Linked DNA regions of Sus scrofa. The protein of the gene in region 2 binds, or shares a complex with, the protein of the main gene of each other region. Links are inferred from orthologs where the notes say so. Each region holds a gene or a part of one and is shown on either strand. Other genes may lie near its edges.

Region 1 (5,841 bases), on a different chromosome or scaffold from region 2:
GACCTTGTTTAAATCCTAATTTAAATATATCAACTGCAGAAAAGAAAAAAAAAAAGTTACCAGACAATTGGAGAGATTTAAATACTGATTGCATATATGATGATACTAAGGACTTACTGTTAACTTTTCAGGAGTGTGTGCATTTTTAAAAAGAGTATCATTTGAAAATATAGAGTTGGAGTTCCCGTTGTGGCTCAGTGGTAACAACCCAACTAGTAACCATGAGGTTGCAGGTTCGATCCCTGGCCTCGCTCAGTGGGTTAAGGATCCCGTGTTGCCATGAGCGGTGGTGTAGGTCGCAGATGCGTCTTGGATCCTGCGTTGCTGTGGTTGTGGTAATAGGTCGGCAGCTGTAGCTCCGATTTGACCCCCCAGCCTGGGAACCTCTATGTGCCGAGGGAGCAGCCCTCAAAACAAAAGGAAAGAAAAAGAGTGTACTTATAGATAAAAGGCTGTAACATCTGGGATCTGCTTCAAAAGAATCTAAGGTGAGAGGATATAGATGACGTAAGATTAGCACTTGGTGTGAGTGTCACGGCTGGGTGACGGGTATGTGGGGGGACACTGTACCTTCTACTTTCAGCAATGTTTTCCCTAATAAGTTTAAAAATGGACTGAGTCAGTGGTAGCTATTGTGGTCAGTGTATTTTCGTGGATGAAGGCGAGAACATAAGCAAGGAGGAAGACTTCTCTTCGTTATCCGCTCTCTTCCCACAGGGCCCACCTCTGAGTCTACTTCGTATGATCTAAGCCCAACGTAAACCATATGACAGAAGGTCCTGTCCAATCATGCTCCTGCTTCTTAAAGCACTTTGATGACCTCCCTCTACTCTAGACATAAAAACCCCAAGTCACAGTCGGGCCATTTATTTATTTATTTACTTTGGCTGCACCTGCAGCATGTGGAAGTTCCTGGGCCAGGGATCAAATCCAAGCCACAGCTGCAACCTGTGCCACTGCTGCAGCAACGCTGGATCTTTACCCCACTGGACCACAGCAGGAACTCCAAGGCCGTTTATTTGTTACAGGCCCTGCCTCTCTCTTCAGCCTCAATTCAGATCGCTCTTCGGATTTTGCGGGTGGCTTTTTTTCTGTTCCTCAAATGAGTCACACTCTGTCATACCCCAGGCCCTTCGCACATTGTCCCGACTGCCCTCGACCTTCCTCCCCTTACCCTCCATCCTCCCAGCAACCGTTCACTTAATTACCTCCTGCTTCCTTCCGATCTCAGCTCAACCTTTATGACTTTTTCTAGGAAGCCTCCAGCCCACGCCCAGGCTAGATGGTTCTCCCGTGTTTAAACCCTCATAGCCTGTCGGGTACCTCTCCTTCGGAGGACTCGGCACAAATGCAATACTGAAACTGTGTTGCCGTTGCTGTTTACCACTGCATCCCCAGCACTTAGCACCGGGCCTGGCCCAGGGCGAATGACCAATAAATATTTGTTGAATAAACAAATGAGTAAACGACAATTCACTGACAAGTATCCTCTCCCCTGGCGCGTTCACATCTTCCCACTGCAGCCACAAGGCCCCACTCGAGTATTCTCGCTGAAATGCCTGGCACCAAAGGTCCCAGTCCCCCCTCACCAGTCATCGCCCACGTTGAAGGCATTCAGGCTCTTGGTGAAGCCTTGCATGTTGGTGGGACTGACTCTCTGCAGGAAGTCAATGTAGTCCTCAGAGTGGAAGCGGCACATGTCATGCTGGGAGGCCTGGTACGGCTTGAAGACCTCGGGATGGAAACACAAGGAGAACCCGGGCAGGGTCAGTCCCACTGGTTGGGCTGAGACCCCCACCCCGAACCCAGCCCTGGGGACCATCCAAAACCACACACAGCAGTCCCCTTGCCCCTGAATCCTTGTTATTCTATGAGACAAAGTTCGATGAGGAAGAAAGACTGATTAGCCCGGTCGTTTATAATGATCAAGCCCCCTAAAGACCATGCGGCTCGCCTTTTCCCTCCAACCTCCAGCCCAGCCTTTCCTACCTTCTCGAACCGTAACCCCGTTCAACCTGCCCTGATCCCTGGATCTCTTACTCCTGATTCTCTTCATAGTCATCCCCCCAGAGCTCTGATTCTGTCCTCTCTCTCCTCTGAGTTCTTAATTTTGGAGTCAAATAATATGGAACATATAACAACCCTCTAACTAAAAACAGATGCCCAGGTGCTAAGCCAGAGATTTACCATCTTTTGAGGGACTCACACGCTTCTTTAGAAACCAAACAAAATGTTTTTCTCTCCCAGAAAAGGGCACAAACTGGCAAACAGTTTCAAGTGAGTCTGAGATTCACGCACCAACATCACCTCGGCCTCCTCTACGGCCAAATCACTTGTCAGTGCCTCAGCCTGGTGGGCACCCATTCATACTGTTGACTAATTCCCCTTGCAATGGCATAAGAGCCAAGGCGACATGTTATAATCACATATCACATCTATAACTTCCAAGCTGGGGACAGAGAGCATGTGCATATCCTGGCGATGGAGGGATGGGTAGTGATTAGTAGAACTGGGGGGGGGGGATTCCAGGTTGAAAAGAGAATACCCAGGACATCTCCTACGGTCCCCCCCACACACATACACACTTACACACAGGCTGCAGAGTCCTCTAGCCCCTTGGAGGTGGAGAGAGGTGTGGCAGAGGAAAAGGGGTGCCAGTGGGGGTAAATCTCATATTCAGATACAGTGATCCAGCCCCTTTCCCTTTGCTGAGGCCACAAAACTGCTCTAAGATGCTGGCGAGGGAAACACTTTCTGTATTCAAACCAGCCCCACTCCACCCCAACTCTAGGCCATGACCTGTCTACTTGAGGTCAAAGGCTGGCCGACCTAAAGTGAAAAAGGAACTCCCATTAAGCTCATGGATGCACCCACCAATACTCTGCATACGGGGGTCCTCCTGGTTCCTTCTATCCCGCCCTCCCCACGCTGGAGGTGGGTCGCTCTTGGGGCGTTCAGGGCAGCCAGCCTACCTATCCCTAGGGCCGCAGCTCGCCCCCACCCTCCATCCCCAGCAGAAGCCGCGAGACTCACGATCATCTTCTTATAAAGACCGTAGTGCAGGACCAGACTATGGGTCAAGGCCAAGCGATGGGGCTTCATAGGGTGCCCAGCCCCTGGGGGGTGGGAAAAGAGAGTGGGTCAGTTCCCATCCCTGGAGCTGTAGCCCCGCCCTGGAAACCTCCGCGTTCCGAAACCCCTCGCATACAACCTTGTTCCCTCACCGTAGTGGAAGTTGCCCACGTCGGGGTCGTAGAAATAGGCCACAGTCTTGGCCATGGTGCCAGCGGGACCAGGCCCCGCGCCTCCGCCGCCAGCCTGGCCGCCAGCCCCACCCCCGGTCGTGCGTGCTGCGTAAGCACGCAGCCAGTCTCTGCGGAACCCGGAGGCCCAAGCCCGCCTCCCGTAGGCCACGCCCAGGCCACGCCCCCTGCGGAGTTCCGCCCTCTCTGCTTGGCGGTTCTAGGTTATGGGGTGTTGAGTGTCTGGACTTGGCCGGAGGACCGCGCATTGGTCCTAGGATGCGAAGGCCATTTTCTTCCGGGCGGGGGTCAAATCCTCGGGAAGCCGAACCATTCTGTCCAGCCACCTGTCCCAAACCGGGTGCAAGCCGTGTCACCTCTCTAGGAGGCTCCTGATAACCGGCCGTGCTGTCCCTCTCCCATGCGGAAAGCCAGCTTCCCGCGGCCCGCTGGGAAGATTCTTGGCTACCCAAGCCGGCCGGGGCATCCGAGGGCAGGAGCCAAGCCAGGCGTGCCCGGTTGACCAGTGGAGAGCACCCTCGCTTGACTGACTGTCCTCTTCACCCGGACCCAGACTCGGCGCCGCACACCCCCCCGGAGGAGAAGGGGGGCAGCGCAGTCACGCGCGCACCACACTTGCGCTCACAAGCGCGCAAGGCTCTCGCTCTCCGCCCCGCACACCTGTGCTCCGCCCCCTGGTCCCGGGCGGGCGACGGTCGAAGGCTTGGGAACCCAAGGCTGCTGCGGCGGCGCCCCCCATCTCATTCCCTTCCCAGCGCTGGTATAGTCCGGAGCCTGTCGCCGGTCCCGACCAGCCCGCATCCCTCTCCATCCTTCCCTCCCCCCGCCTGCCGCGGCACCGGTATCTGCAGCCGCAGCCCGGAGCCCTTGAAGCGGCGAAGGGGGGAGGGGAAGGAAGCAAGGGATGAGCGCCGGGAGGGCGTCGGGGGCCCCGAGCCGGACTAGGACGCCCCTGGAGCCGGAACCCGAGCCGGAGCCGGAGCCAGAACCAAATCACCGGTACCGGGTGGGCCAGGTGGTCAGGATGGGGAGAACCGAAAGGCGGGAGGGGGTGTGTGTGCGATAGTACAGTCAGGGGAGTGAGCTGCGGAGGCCTGGCTCAGGCCGGCGCAGAGGTGTGGACGCTGACTCAGGCAGGGATCCCTGCGCCGGCCGCCTGAGAATTCCGTCCCATCTCGCTCTGCAGTGTCCTTGGGAGGGACGGAAGCGCAGGACAAGATGGAAAGGGGAACGCTCTGGGCGTCGGGAAAGCGGGACCAGGATAGTGGAAGAGGGTTTGCGCAGCCTCCATCTGGCACCCCTCCCTGGCCTGGACCAGCACCCCTGGCCCGGACAGCTCCCTGGTTGGGCAGAGGGTGGGGCCAGACCGCAGAAGCTTGGCTGTCACGGATCCTGAAGATGGCATTCCTATCCCTCCCCCCAACCCCTAGCTGCAGCCCCCTAGCCCCAGGAGGCGCCCTGGCCCGCGCTCGCCCCCCAGGGCCTCATGTCGGAACCACAGCCTGACCTGGAGCCGCCCCAACATGGGCTGTACATGCTCTTCCTGCTTGTGCTGGTCTTCTTTCTCATGGGCCTCGTAGGCTTCATGATCTGCCACGTGCTCAAGAAGAAGGGCTACCGCTGCCGCACCTCGAGGGGCTCGGAGCCTGACGACACCCAGTTGCAGCCCCGTGAGTGAACAGCCTAGACCCTGGCTCAGTCCCTTTTCTCTCTCACCCTTCTCCCCACACCTCTTAACCCAGGCCACATCCCACCCAAACTTTCAAGAGGCCTAGTAACATTTTCTTGAGTCCACGGCCCTAAAAGCAAGGCTAGAGAAGCAGAGCGCGGGGTGGGACCAGCCCACGATGGTAGTCTTGGATTCGCATTGATTTCTCCATCTTTTCTGCCCTGGCCCTTGAAATGCTAACCTACAGCCTGATGGCACATTGGCAAAGGGGTAGGTCTTGAGTAACAAGCCACAGAAGCCACCAGGTAATATACCCCCAAAGCTGACTCATTTGTCACTTCCCTGCCAACCGCCTTCATCCTTCAGCTGAGGACGATGACATGAATGAGGACACAGTGGAGAGGATTGTTCGCTGCATCATCCAAAATGAAGGTGGGTGTGGGCTGGCCCCGTGCCCCACCCTGACTGTCTCTTGCCCTGGCCTTTGCCTCCACTCACCCCCTCTTTTCCTTCTCCCCTCAGCCAATGCTGAGGCCTTAAAGGAGATGCTGGGGGACAGTGAAGGAGAAGGGACAGTGCAGCTGTCCAGGTGAGCTGGAAATGAGGGCCAGCACGATGTAGCTGGAGAGCACCCTCTCCGCCAGCACATTCCTCTCCCAGTCTCTTTGCATGTTTGGGGTGTGGGGGGAGCAAGGCTGGCTCACATACAGGAAGAAGGAAGTTTTGTAGAAAGGCTGAGTCCTTCAAACCACGTGGCTCTCTCTCCTGGCTCTCATCAAGCCTAACGTTCCCCCCCTTATGCCACTCCTCTGGGTCAAGCAGCGCCTGCTCTTGAGCCAACGGCCCTGGGAGGCAGAACACATGGTCTCTAACATCTTCATATTGAGTTTATTAGATAAAGACAAGAAA
Region 2 (5,253 bases):
TTTAACACTCAATCCTCTCAACCAAGACCCGAAGCCCACCCATGTGCCTCCAAGGCAGAGGCTCTGGGAGCACAGGCCTGAGCCCTACTCCCATCTGAATCACACCCAAAGGTCAGAAGTGGGGTGTCCTGAGACTGTCCAGGGGGTCTTACCCCTGGGGCAGTTCTGGTTGTTACTGTCATAATGACTGGGCAGAGGTGGGTGGGCATGGCTCCTGGCATTGGTGGATGGGGGCCAGGGATGCCAAATACAGGAGAGTCCTACTCAATGAAGACCCACTCTGCTCCAAATTGGAAGGTGCCACTGCTGAGAAACACCAACTGGTCCTTTCTCATCTGGACCCAGAACTGGGGAGGGTCTAGCTCAGGGTGGCTGCCCAAAGTCCTGGCCCCAGGTGTTCCTGTGGAGCCAGAAAGGTGGGGACTCAGCAGGGGTGAGAGTATCCAGCCACTCTTGCCTGCCCCTGCCCCTGCCCCTGCCCTGCACCCCAAGGGTCCCAGGCTGCTGTCTGGTCACCAAAGGGACTAGGCTTGGGGTAGTTCTGCCTCCCGCCTCAGGGGTCCAGGCAGCCACCTCCATCCCGTGCCAGACTGACCTTCCCCACCACGTAGAGCATGTTGGTGTCCGGGTCATAGAAGGGAAACAGCACACCTGAGGAGCCATCCAGGTCCTCCTCCGTGAGAGGCACAGAGAGGTCGTCCTGCAAGGGAAGGGAGACCAGGAAGGCCCGTGGGTCCCTCACAGAGGCCTTGATGGTGTTCTCTGAGATAAGATTTCCTCCCACAGGGCTGTGTGTGCATGTGCATGCGTGTATGTGTGTGTGTGTGTGTGTGTGTGTGTGTGTGAGAGAGAGAGAGAGAGAAAGAGAGAGAAAGATCCCCACCTTTTCTCTTTCCAGCCTTTTGCCTTTAATGAATCACTTCTCAAACACATGATGTCACTCCAGCCCTCGCCCTCCTGCTTTAGATCTACTATAGTAGAAGGAGATTCAGAGAGAGGGGAAGTGATTTGTCCAACTCTGGCCAAGGGCTCCTTCAAAACAATCCTACTTGGCCTGGCTCCTCCTTCAACCCCCCCCCCCCGCCCCCACCGCCCCAAGGGCCTTGACCAGGCACACACGCCTCCCTATTTCATTCCAAGTCATCACTCCAGCTGTTCCCTCCTCTCAGAAGGCCCTCTCCTCCCATCCCCTCAATCCTAGTCCCTGACCCAGCCAGCTCCCCTCCCCCACACGGAGGCTTCCCCTGGGTCCTGACCCCTCCCCGTCCTTGAATGACAAGAGGCGCAAGGTCTGGGCAGGCACCAGCAGGCTGTTAGCGGCGTCTCCCTGGTTTTCATCAATCAATCCCATCAGCCAGTGCACGCGTGAATGAACAAATGACGTCAGGGCGCAGCTGAGGGGGCGCTGGTGGGGTTGCTCAAAAGACTCACCTGATCCCACAGGGCCATCTGCCGGTTGTTCCATCGGGATGTGCCCGTGGACAGCAGCTTCTTCAGGTTCCCCAGAAACAGCACTTTGTTGGCCCGGTGCCCCTTGTAACTGGCTTCCTGCAGGGGTGGACATGTGTAGCCAGGGAGTCCCTGCCTTTGCTTCTGCTACTTCTCCACCTGGAATTCCTTCCTTTCCCGTCCCAGCTCTGCCTGGAGAATCATGCTAGAGATACCACCTCCAGGAAGCCTTCTTGGGTCTCTCCCATCCGCAGGGAATCTCTCCCACTATTTTTGTTTATAGAGTTCTTTTTCTGAGCTAGAACAGAAGCAAATTCTGGCCCAGCTCCATGTTCTTCTAGAAGATTATGACGGAGTACCCACTATATGCAAGGCATGGGGCTGGGTGGGCCCTGGCACTTGGCTTATCTCATTTAATCCTCCCAGAGGAAGGACTAGTGGTCCATTGCTGCAGATGAGAAAATAGAGGCTCAGAGAGCAGTACGTGCTTGTCTAAGGTCTCATAGTGGATAAACAGTGGTGCCCTGAGGTCTCTTGACACCATGCCATGCCTCCTGACAGAGCCGAGGCATAGTGACAAGCTTTGGAGGTAGACCAGGTTCAAGTCCCAGCTTCTGATATGGGCCAGCAAGTCACTTAGCCTCTTTGGCTTCAGTTGCCTCATCTGAAAAATGGGGATGGCATCGTCTACACCTCCCAGCAGATGGGATCACGCATCTGGCTTGACCAGAACCACGGACGGCATTACTGCCCTGTTCTCAGAAACCTCCCCCGTTCCCACTCCATTCCTTGCTCCTCCCACCCCGAGCCAGACACCAGCCCAGCACTGACCTGGAGCACAGCCCCTGCTCGGGGGTCGAGAACCCGAATCTTTCGGTCTTTACAGGCAGTGGCCAGCAGGCTGCCGTTGGTGTTGAAGGACATGGAGAGGATCACGTCTTGGTGACAGGTAATGGTCCTCACGGGGCTCATGATTACAGACTCCTTTGTATCCAGGTTCCAGACCATCACCTACATGGCAGCGAGCCGGCTCTGAGCACAGCAGGCACCCCACCCCACCCAGACTCACACACCAGCCAGGCTGCAGTGAAACGCGGTATCCCCAGGAGGGAAGCCACAGATGGCAGTCTGGCCAAGAGGCCTCAGGTGGGAGGATGGATCTGCCGGCTAAGGCTGCCATGTGGCAGGAGGGGGAGGCTGGGAGTCAGGCTATCTGGCCGTGAAAAGAAAACACCATCTGTTTGGAGCAGTGAAACATCCATGCTGGGAGGACCCAACGGGACTGGCTCGTCTGGAGGGTTCAGTCATTAGCAACCATTTCCACCACACAGGTAAAAGGGGCTGCCGTGGTGAGCTGCACAGGCTGTGTGCTGCACAGCTCTGGGGAAACCCATTCCCATAGTCTATAATGTAAATAGTGCCCCCTGGAGTTGTGTGCAGAATACACTGTATAACTATAGGCAATAGCATACCCTACATAAACAGATAATAAAGCATGTCTGATCAGAAAGCGGAAAAGGTCCTCTCAGCCACTCCTATCCCATCCTCTTATCCATCACTGAGGCCCTGAGCTACATCTGTAAAGCCCTACAGAGAGTGGCCCAAGAAATAGCAACAACAACAACAACAACAAAAAGACAAAAAGACAAAAAAAAAAAAAAAAAAAAAAAAGAATCTAGGTCTCCTTGGGAGTTCCAGTTGTGGCTCAGTGTTAACGAACCCAACCCTTATCCATGAAGATGCGGGTTCGATCCCTGGCCCCCGCTCAGTGGGTTAAGGATCCAGTGTCGCCATGAGCTCTTATGTATGTTGCAGACATAGCTTGATCCCTGCATTGCTGTGGCTGTGGTGTAGGCCAAGAGCTGCAGCTCTGATTCAACCCCTAGCTTGAGATATTCCATATGCTGGCAGGTTCCCCATCCACAGGGCTTCCAGCTTGTTAGCTTGGCAGTCAATGGAGCAGGGGGAGGCTTCTCCAGGTGTGATGCTTCACATTCTCTCCAGGAAGACAATGGATTGAATAGTGACCCCCAAAACTCATGTCTACCTGGAACTCAGAATGTCATATTATTTGGAAATGGGTCTTTGAGGATGTAATGAGTTACAATGAGGTCACACTGGGTTTGGGTGGACCCTAAATCCAGTGACTCAGGTCCTTATAAGAAGAGGAGAGGACGCAGATACACAGAGAAGGCAGAAGACAGAAGCGGATTGGAGTGGTCCAGCTACAAATCAAAGAATGCTTGGAACCACTAGAAGCTAGAAGAAGCACAGGATTCTGCCCTAGAGTCTTTGGAAAAAGTATGACCCTCCTAACACCCTGATTTTGGATTTCTGGTCTCCAGAACTGTGTGAGAATCCATTTGTTTGTCTGTTTTGCTCTTTTTAGGGCATGGGTGGCCTATGGAAATTCCCAGGCTAGGGGTCTAATCGGAGCTGCAACTGCCTGCCTACACTACAGCCATAGCAACGTAGGATCCGAGCCTCATCTGTGACCTACACCACAGCTCACAGCAACACCAGATCCTTAACCTTCTGAGCGAGGCCAAGGATCGAACCTGAGTCCTCACGGATACTAGTTGGATTCGTTTCCATTGCACCACTACAGGAACTCCTGAGAATACATTTCTGTTGTCTTAACCCACTTGATTTGGTCCTGTGTCAAGGCAGCCTCAGGAAGCTAACATACAGACCTACCTTGTAGTCATAGCCGGAGCTGAAGAGGATGTTGGCGGCTGTGGGGTGCCACTCCACCAGGCCCACTCTGCGGGCGTGGCCAACCAGCTCCTTCTTGCAGGCTGTGAGGTTCTTTGTCATCAGCTGCTTGGGGATGTCCCAGATTTTAATCTGTCAGGGGAGACACAGCCCAAGGGCAGTGTTAGCCAGGGTTACCTCGGTATCCCCACAACCCCAAGCTACAGAACAGGCAGTGCTCAGCAGAAGGGCCAGGAGAACTCTCTGTATCTACATGTCACTCAGTGGAGAGGCAGCTGGGATCCCTCAGAGGGACAGGGGCTTAGCTAAGGTCCTCCAGCCTCAGCAGGGGCTGGAGGTGAGCCCAGGCCTCTGATAATCCTTGCAATCCTAATGACCTGAGGCAGTGGGTGAATGGATGGGACACAGGCCTGATTCCCAGGCTGGATGTCAGAGCATATTGGCGTCCCAGCCTAGAATATCCCTTAAAGTACAGTAGGCTACCCCATCCTGGTCCCAAAGGCTTAGGGTATAGCTTCGAATGCCAAGGGGAAGAGTTTATGCTATTTCCTCAGGCCATTAGGGAGCCAGAGCTGTCTCTGGAGCAAGACAGGGCAGGGAAAACCTCTTCGTTTATAGGGGCCCTTTGGATGTCCTGGAAGAGAAAAGACTCAAGGCCAGAAGGCAGGGTTGGATGGGGTCACAGGCTTATATTTCACAGTGAGGGCCTCGTAGGAGGGGCTGCAGCTTCCTTCCAGAGTAGGGTTGTTGAGGATGGAAGGGGCTTACATGGTAGAAAATAAGCTCCCCTTCATGGAGGCAGAGAAATGGAGGCACAGAGCGATGCTGCAGAGGGTGACAAAGTTTTTCCAAAAGATGGGCTTTCCCATTAGAAAATGAATCTCACTGAATCTTCCTTAGATGGTGGGAGCTATTATGCCCATCTTATAGAGGGAGGATTGAGGCCCATAGAGAGCAGGGGTGGAGCCCCAAGTCCCACAGAGCCCAGAACTTCTCCTCCTCAATCTAACTTACCCCCTCTGCACACAGTGACCTCACCTCATGAAGGATGAAGGAGTCAGGAGTGTTGGAGCTGAGTCCAGACACCCT
Region 3 (5,823 bases), on a different chromosome or scaffold from region 2:
CAATCTGTCGGGGAGCCCCTGCCCTTCACCCTGCTCCCTTGGCCAGGAGTGAGCGAACCATGGCCTTGGCGAAGCTGCCCTCCTCCTCTCCCCTCACACTACAGCCCTGGTGGGGGAGAGGGGGTGGGTGCTGCTTGTGGTTTAGTTTTTCTTTCTTCCTTTTTTTTTTTTTTTTTTTTTTTTTAATTCAACCTGGAATCAGAAAGCTGTGGATTCTGGCAAATGGTCCTTGTGCCCTTCCCACACTCGTCCCTGGTCTGGTCCCTTACTCCCCCATAGCCCTTTATCCCAAGCACCACCCCAACAGACTGGGGACCAGCCCCCTCCCCTGCTGATGTCTCTCCCCAAGTCCCTTTAGATGGGAGGGAAGAGGAGGAGAGGGGAGGGGACCTGCCCCCTCCTCAGGCATCTGGGAGGGCCCTGCCCCCCATGGGCTTCACCCTTTCCTGCGGGCTCTCTCCCCGACACATTTGTTAAAAATCAAACCTGAATAAAACTACAAGTTTAATATGAAGCCCCCAACTCAGCTGCTTCTTTGAATTAAATGGTATTTGCTGACCGGGAAGTCAATGTGGAAATGAGAAAGTGATTGGTAATCTGCTGTCCCACTGTGATTCCTGCGTCCTGCGGACCTGCCGCCCACTCCCACCCCCACCCCCACCCCAGGCAGCCCAGTGGGAGGTAACACAGACAGTAGCAGCATCGGGGGCAGTGGCAGGTAGATTTTATTGGCCTGGGACTGAGGCACACCAGGGATCCTCCCCCACAGTAGGGGGCAGGGGCTGGGAGCGAGGTTGATAGACTCTGATGGTCACTTGTGGTAGAATCGCGGGTTCTGGCTGTGCTGGATGAAGGGGAGCCGAGGGCCAGGCTGGCTGGTGGTTGCAAAGCCCGACTGGCAGCAGTAATGAGAGGAGGGCTTTGTCAGTGCGCGCCCTTCCCCTTCCTTCTACTCCCGCAGGGGACTGACAGCCATGGCAGAGGAGGAGGGAAAAAGGGGGGCAGGGACCACCTGTCCTACCCAGTCCTTTTTTCAACTTGGTGATGTAGGCATTCTGGTGGGCTTACCTTTCCTGCTGGTTGCATCTGCACAGGGAGCTGGGGTGAGGCAAGCAGTCCAGGGGCTGGATGCAGAGCTTGGGGATGCATGGGGCGTAGGGAGGACTGCAGAGAACAAAGTCAGCTGAGGCAGCCTGGGGCTCCCCTTAGTGTGGGCAGCCCTTCCCCTGACTTCCCAAGATTTTACTCACTGAGTCAGAGAAGCCAGTTTGTTGGTTAGCGTGTTCCATCTGCTTTTGTAAGGACAGGGCGCCACCGGGCTGGAGGAAGCCTAGGTGGGGAGGAAGGGTGTGTGAGGTGAGTAGAGAAAGGAGGCGAAGAGGAAGGGAGGAGGACCGCTGGAACTGGGCCCCTGCGTGGTGTCTGTCTACCATCACCTGTCTGGGTGGGCTGAAAGTGGCTGTGCACAGCATAGGGCTGTGGCTGTGGCTGAGACAGGTACTGCACTGCAGGAAATGCCGAAGGTGCTGAGGAAGGCAGGAGACAGCCATTAGGACCTCCTGGTAGCCTGTTCACAACACTCCTCCCTTAGAGCCTTGAGGAATGCCCCTCCTCCCCTTTGCCCAAGGCTCACCTCTGAGCTGCTGACTAGGACTATAGGCAGGCTGGGTGGGTCCATAGTGAGGTGGGGGCTGAGCAGTCCCATAGGCGCCGCCGGGGCTGCCTTGGAACTGCCCATGCTCCGGGGTCCCTGCGAAAGCAGCTGCTGAGCCCACGTAGTGTCGGTTCTAAGGAGGGAGGACGAGAACCACTGTAAACTCCATGAAGCAAAAACTTGAGTGACTGAAAGCCCCATTTCCCCAACACACTCATGACTTGAATGCTGGTTGGGTAAGGATGCGAGGCCGGCTGGAAGTAGCGGGAGTAAATGACAGCCTAGATACCCAGTCCTCCTGCTCTTACTGTAAGCACTTGGGGGCCGAACATCTGTTTGGCTCTGTCAGCTGCCATGAGGGTGCCTGGCCGATTGTGTCCTCCGGGGCTCCCTAGAGGGAGACGGGCTTGTGATGCTGCAAGAAGAGGCTGCAACCCCCAGGAAGGCCCATCTGACAAGTGGTTTCTTTAATCCTCACCCTGCATGCTGAGGAGGTGAGTTCCTGTGTGAACAGTCAGGCCTTGCTGGTATGCTGCCGATGTCAGAGTGGTCAGGTCACTGAACAAGAGGCAGGCACATCAGATCAAAGGCAAGCCTTTTCCCCTCTCCGCTCCCGCAAAAAACTTGATCTCTTGTTACCTGATCCCAGTTAGACTTTGGGCCCCAATTTTATTTTTAGCTGCCCAATCTCACCTCTGCTCCTTCCGCCTCCGTTTTTCTTCCTCATGTAAAACTTTCTTGAGCTGCAGGAAAAGCTGGTGCTTCTCTTCCTGGAGGGCCGAAAGCTTCTCCTGCAACTTCAGGATCTGGGAAGGAAGGAGAGGGATGAAAGCAAGAGAGCCAAGGGCAGAAAGGGCTGGGGAGAGATCAAGGGACTGCTTACTTGTTCCTTGGTCTCCTCTAGTGACATTCTCTCTTCCATTTCCTTTTTTTTCCTTCTCTCCTGCTCTTCCTTCATCTTTTGTTCCATCATCTTGTCCACCTCTTCTTCCTCTGGAAGAGTCAGAGTCAGGCAGAATGGGGAAGTGGCAGAGTGGTTAAAAGATTAGAATGTTAGCGATTGAAAGCCAGCAAAAACTGGTATCCCACTACACTTGGTACGAACTCTTTCCCTCTAAAAGAAACAGGTTTGCCCACCACTGCAAGAGGACACTGGGGACAGGGAAGTTTGTTAGGTGCTCTCCAAGGTCCTTGCCAGCTCACGGTTCTGGAGTTTAGATCTGGCCTCAGACTCCCGCCACGTCGGGGCTATCGGTCCCTCCTCTAGCTGTGGCCGCCGCGCAGGGTCTGCCCGTAGGTCGGGGTCAGCCCCGGGAGAGCAGCGCGCCCCGGGCCGTGCGTCCTCCCGCTCTGGCCCCAGCTCACCCTGCCGCTTGCGCTCCCGCTCCATCATGATGTGCCGGTGCAACGCCCTGGCCATGGCGTTGGAAAGCTTGGGGCGCTCCAGGAGCGCAGGCATGGTGCTGCTGGGGGCGCTCGGGCCGTGGACGCCCGGCTCTGTCACTGGCTGCCAGACCTCAGACCGGGCCTGCGGGGAGGCGGGCGCTCAGAGGGAGCGGACCAGGCCGGGGCGGAAGCCACTCGCCCGCCGCCCCGGTCACGTGCCTGCCGCCGGGCCGGCCTAACAGCGCGGCTCCTCCGCGAGCGCGGGCGGGGGTCTCGGCCTCGGCGCTCCCGCTCCCTGCCCGCTACCCGGGCGCCGGCCCCTCCCTACCCGTCTTCTCGTCGCTTTCTCCGCGGCCTCCCGAGCGCCTGGGCCGTGGCGTCACATCCGGCCGCTGGGCCGAATCCTTCCGGAGTCGAGGCTGTCGCGGCGCTCGCGGGCCGGCGGGGCGGGGCGGGAAGGCGGAAGCGCGGGCGACGGGTGCCCGCGGCGTCCAAACGCCTCCGCTGCGCCCCGCCCGGCGTCGACCCCGAGGGCGGAGCCCCTGACGTGGCGGGGCCGGGTCTCCTCCCGGGTCGGGGCGGGGGGGACCGAGAGGCGCGCGCGCGAGAGGCCAAGGCGGCTGCTCTGAGACGGCGTTTATTGGCTCCTTAGAAATCAGAGTCAGTAACAACTGTACAGAGGCCCCGACCCGCGCCCGCCTTCCCCACTCCCGCCCGGCCCGGAAAAGCAGCTTCGTGTGGGGCGCGGGGAGGCGCCTCTGGCCTTCACAGTAACCAGGAACAGAAACGGAAATAAATTAAGTGTAGGGGGAGGAGTGGCGGGGAGGCGCGCTCCCCAGATCAGTGCATGGAGAGGGTTCCCCAGGGCCGGCGGCCGGACCCCTCGCCGCCCTCGCCTCGAGGGGCTGTCCAGTCCCGGCCCCGGGCGCTCCTCTGCGAGCCCGCCTACATGCTCCTGTGCATCTGCCAGGCTGAGCACCGTGCATGCCGCGCGTCACTGGAATGAGGTGGAGGCAGTCGTCACTCAGAGTCCACGGGCCCAAGGCCCTGCTGTGCTTGTCGTAGTGCGGTGTCACCCCTCATTCCACCCGTACCAGCAGGGCATAGAGGAGCGTGGCCCCCTTCTCCTTGGTCACCCACTCGAGTTCAGCTGGGCTGAAGTGAGGGTCGGGAGGCTCTCTGAGGGCAGCAGAAGGGGGCCCGGGGGTGTAGGAGCCAGGGCGCACGCACACCTGGAACGCCACCTGGGCCTGGTGCGTCCGCTGGGATTTGGGGTCCCGGAATCTGGCAGGCAAGAAGCAGAAACGGGACAGTGAGGCCTCTGCTCCCAGTACCCCTCGCTCTTGCTGGCTGCAACCACCGCCCTGACGGTGACCGCGAGCCTGAGCAGCTGGCCTTGCTGTTGCCAGGCATCAGCCCCTCCTTACTGGGACTTGGCTCCGCCCTTTCCTCCCAAGGGTCTTCCTCCCATGCCCGCTCCCCTCGCTCCCTCCCCTCCCCTCTCCAGGCCTTTGCTCAAATCCCACCTTCTTCTTTTTTTAGGCCCGTTCCCATGGCATAAGGAGATTCCCAGGCTAGGGGTCTAATTAGAGCTGTAGCCACCGGCCTACGCCAGAGCCACAGCAAGTGGGATCCGAGCCACATCTGCAACCTACACCACAGCTCACGGCAACGCCGGATCCTTAACCCACTGAGCAAGGCCAGGGATGGAACCCGAAACCTCACGGTTCCTAGTCGGATTCATTAACCACTGAGTCACGACGGGAACTCCAAATCCCACCTTCTTAATGACGTCTGCCGCCACTACCCTATTTCATAGGCCGGGTCCTGCCACGCTTCTGATCCACCTCACTCCACTCTACATTTTGTTTCCATAGTATTTACATGTCACCTTCAAAGATACTAACTACTAAACACTCATTAGGCACAAACACTCCAGAGCAAGAGAGGGCAGAAGTTCCACGTGGCTAGGGTTCCCTTTTTTGTTCTGTGTGATAGGACCAAGTAAGAGGTCTTTGTTCAAAGACTGTGTGAGGGCTGGGTGGAGATGGGCTGGGAAGGAGGGTAACACCAGATCTGAGCAGCCCTGGGCCCCTCCCAGGTACTCACTGCACTTTGGATGCCAGGGTCTCGGCCCCGGCATATTGGAGGGAGGGGGAAAGCAGCACTGGAGGGGGCTGCTCCTCTCGGGGAGGCGCGCAGTTCTCACCAGGCTCCTCAAAGCCTCCCCCAGGCTCTCCCTTCAAGGGCCGGCAGCTCAGGATGGAAGCGGTACCTGTGAAGAGAGCGGGGTAAGGGCAGCCCGCCCATGGCCCACCCGCCCGGCCTGCCCCGCCTCTGCTGGCACCGTGGTACCTGCTCCCAGCTCCCCCCGGTCTAGCACCCTCCGCACGGCTGCCACGTTGCTCCCGTGATACGCCATGTGCCACTTCTTGGTTAGTGTCCCAGCCTCCAGGCGGGGATTCACCCTAGGAGGGGGACAGAGAGGGCAGATGGGGCAAAGGTCCCTGTCTCCACAGGGTCATCCCCCAAGCAAGAAGACACCCTCCTGGGACCTTCGTTTCTCAAGGGGGCAGGGGACCGTGAGGGAGATGCACGACCCTGTCCCATGTGTACCTGAGGTTGAACCTGCACCAGCCGAAGGGCAGAGCGTATTCCCGGGGGGGCTCCCCGCGGCGCCTGTGGGCCTCGTCCCCTCGAAGCTTGCGGCAAGACTCACAGTAGCACAGGCTACGCTTTGGCGGGGGCAGGAAGTAATCCTCTGTGGAGAGTGAGTGGCCCAC

What was found.
Region 1: CORO2A (region 2) and HDAC3 share a complex: the UniProt entries of both Homo sapiens proteins name them as parts of the N-Cor repressor complex. The link is inferred for Sus scrofa from reciprocal best matches to the Homo sapiens genes CORO2A and HDAC3.
Region 3: CORO2A (region 2) and GPS2 share a complex: the UniProt entries of both Homo sapiens proteins name them as parts of the N-Cor repressor complex. The link is inferred for Sus scrofa from reciprocal best matches to the Homo sapiens genes CORO2A and GPS2.

The regions. Positions count from the first base shown.
Region 1 is NC_010444.4:143,284,055-143,289,895, forward strand, and holds the start of HDAC3 (histone deacetylase 3), read right to left. Parts: upstream 3,368-5,841; 5' UTR 3,280-3,367; coding exon 3,225-3,279; intron 3,117-3,224; coding exon 3,034-3,116; intron 1,733-3,033; coding exon 1,590-1,732; intron 1-1,589. Other genes in the region: RELL2 (RELT-like protein 2), read left to right, coding at 4,750-4,933, 5,299-5,364, 5,455-5,521. UniProt on the Homo sapiens protein: Histone deacetylase that catalyzes the deacetylation of lysine residues on the N-terminal part of the core histones (H2A, H2B, H3 and H4), and some other non-histone substrates.
Region 2 is NC_010443.5:239,955,096-239,960,348, forward strand, and holds part of CORO2A (coronin-2A), read right to left. Parts: intron 4,297-5,253; coding exon 4,147-4,296; intron 2,461-4,146; coding exon 2,281-2,460; intron 1,549-2,280; coding exon 1,432-1,548; intron 701-1,431; coding exon 596-700; intron 1-595.
Region 3 is NC_010454.4:52,664,165-52,669,987, forward strand, and holds GPS2 (G protein pathway suppressor 2), read right to left. Parts: upstream 3,480-5,823; 5' UTR 3,369-3,479; exon of another isoform or gene 3,260-3,368; intron 3,183-3,259; 5' UTR 3,114-3,182; coding exon 3,020-3,113; intron 2,648-3,019; coding exon 2,538-2,647; intron 2,461-2,537; coding exon 2,348-2,460; intron 2,213-2,347; coding exon 2,133-2,212; intron 2,046-2,132; coding exon 1,963-2,045; intron 1,788-1,962; coding exon 1,634-1,787; intron 1,527-1,633; coding exon 1,437-1,526; intron 1,331-1,436; coding exon 1,251-1,330; intron 1,165-1,250; coding exon 1,069-1,164; intron 896-1,068; coding exon 812-895; 3' UTR 705-811; downstream 1-704. Other genes in the region: EIF5A (eukaryotic translation initiation factor 5A-1), read left to right, coding at 1-52. UniProt on the Homo sapiens protein: Key regulator of inflammation, lipid metabolism and mitochondrion homeostasis that acts by inhibiting the activity of the ubiquitin-conjugating enzyme UBE2N/Ubc13, thereby inhibiting 'Lys-63'-linked ubiquitination.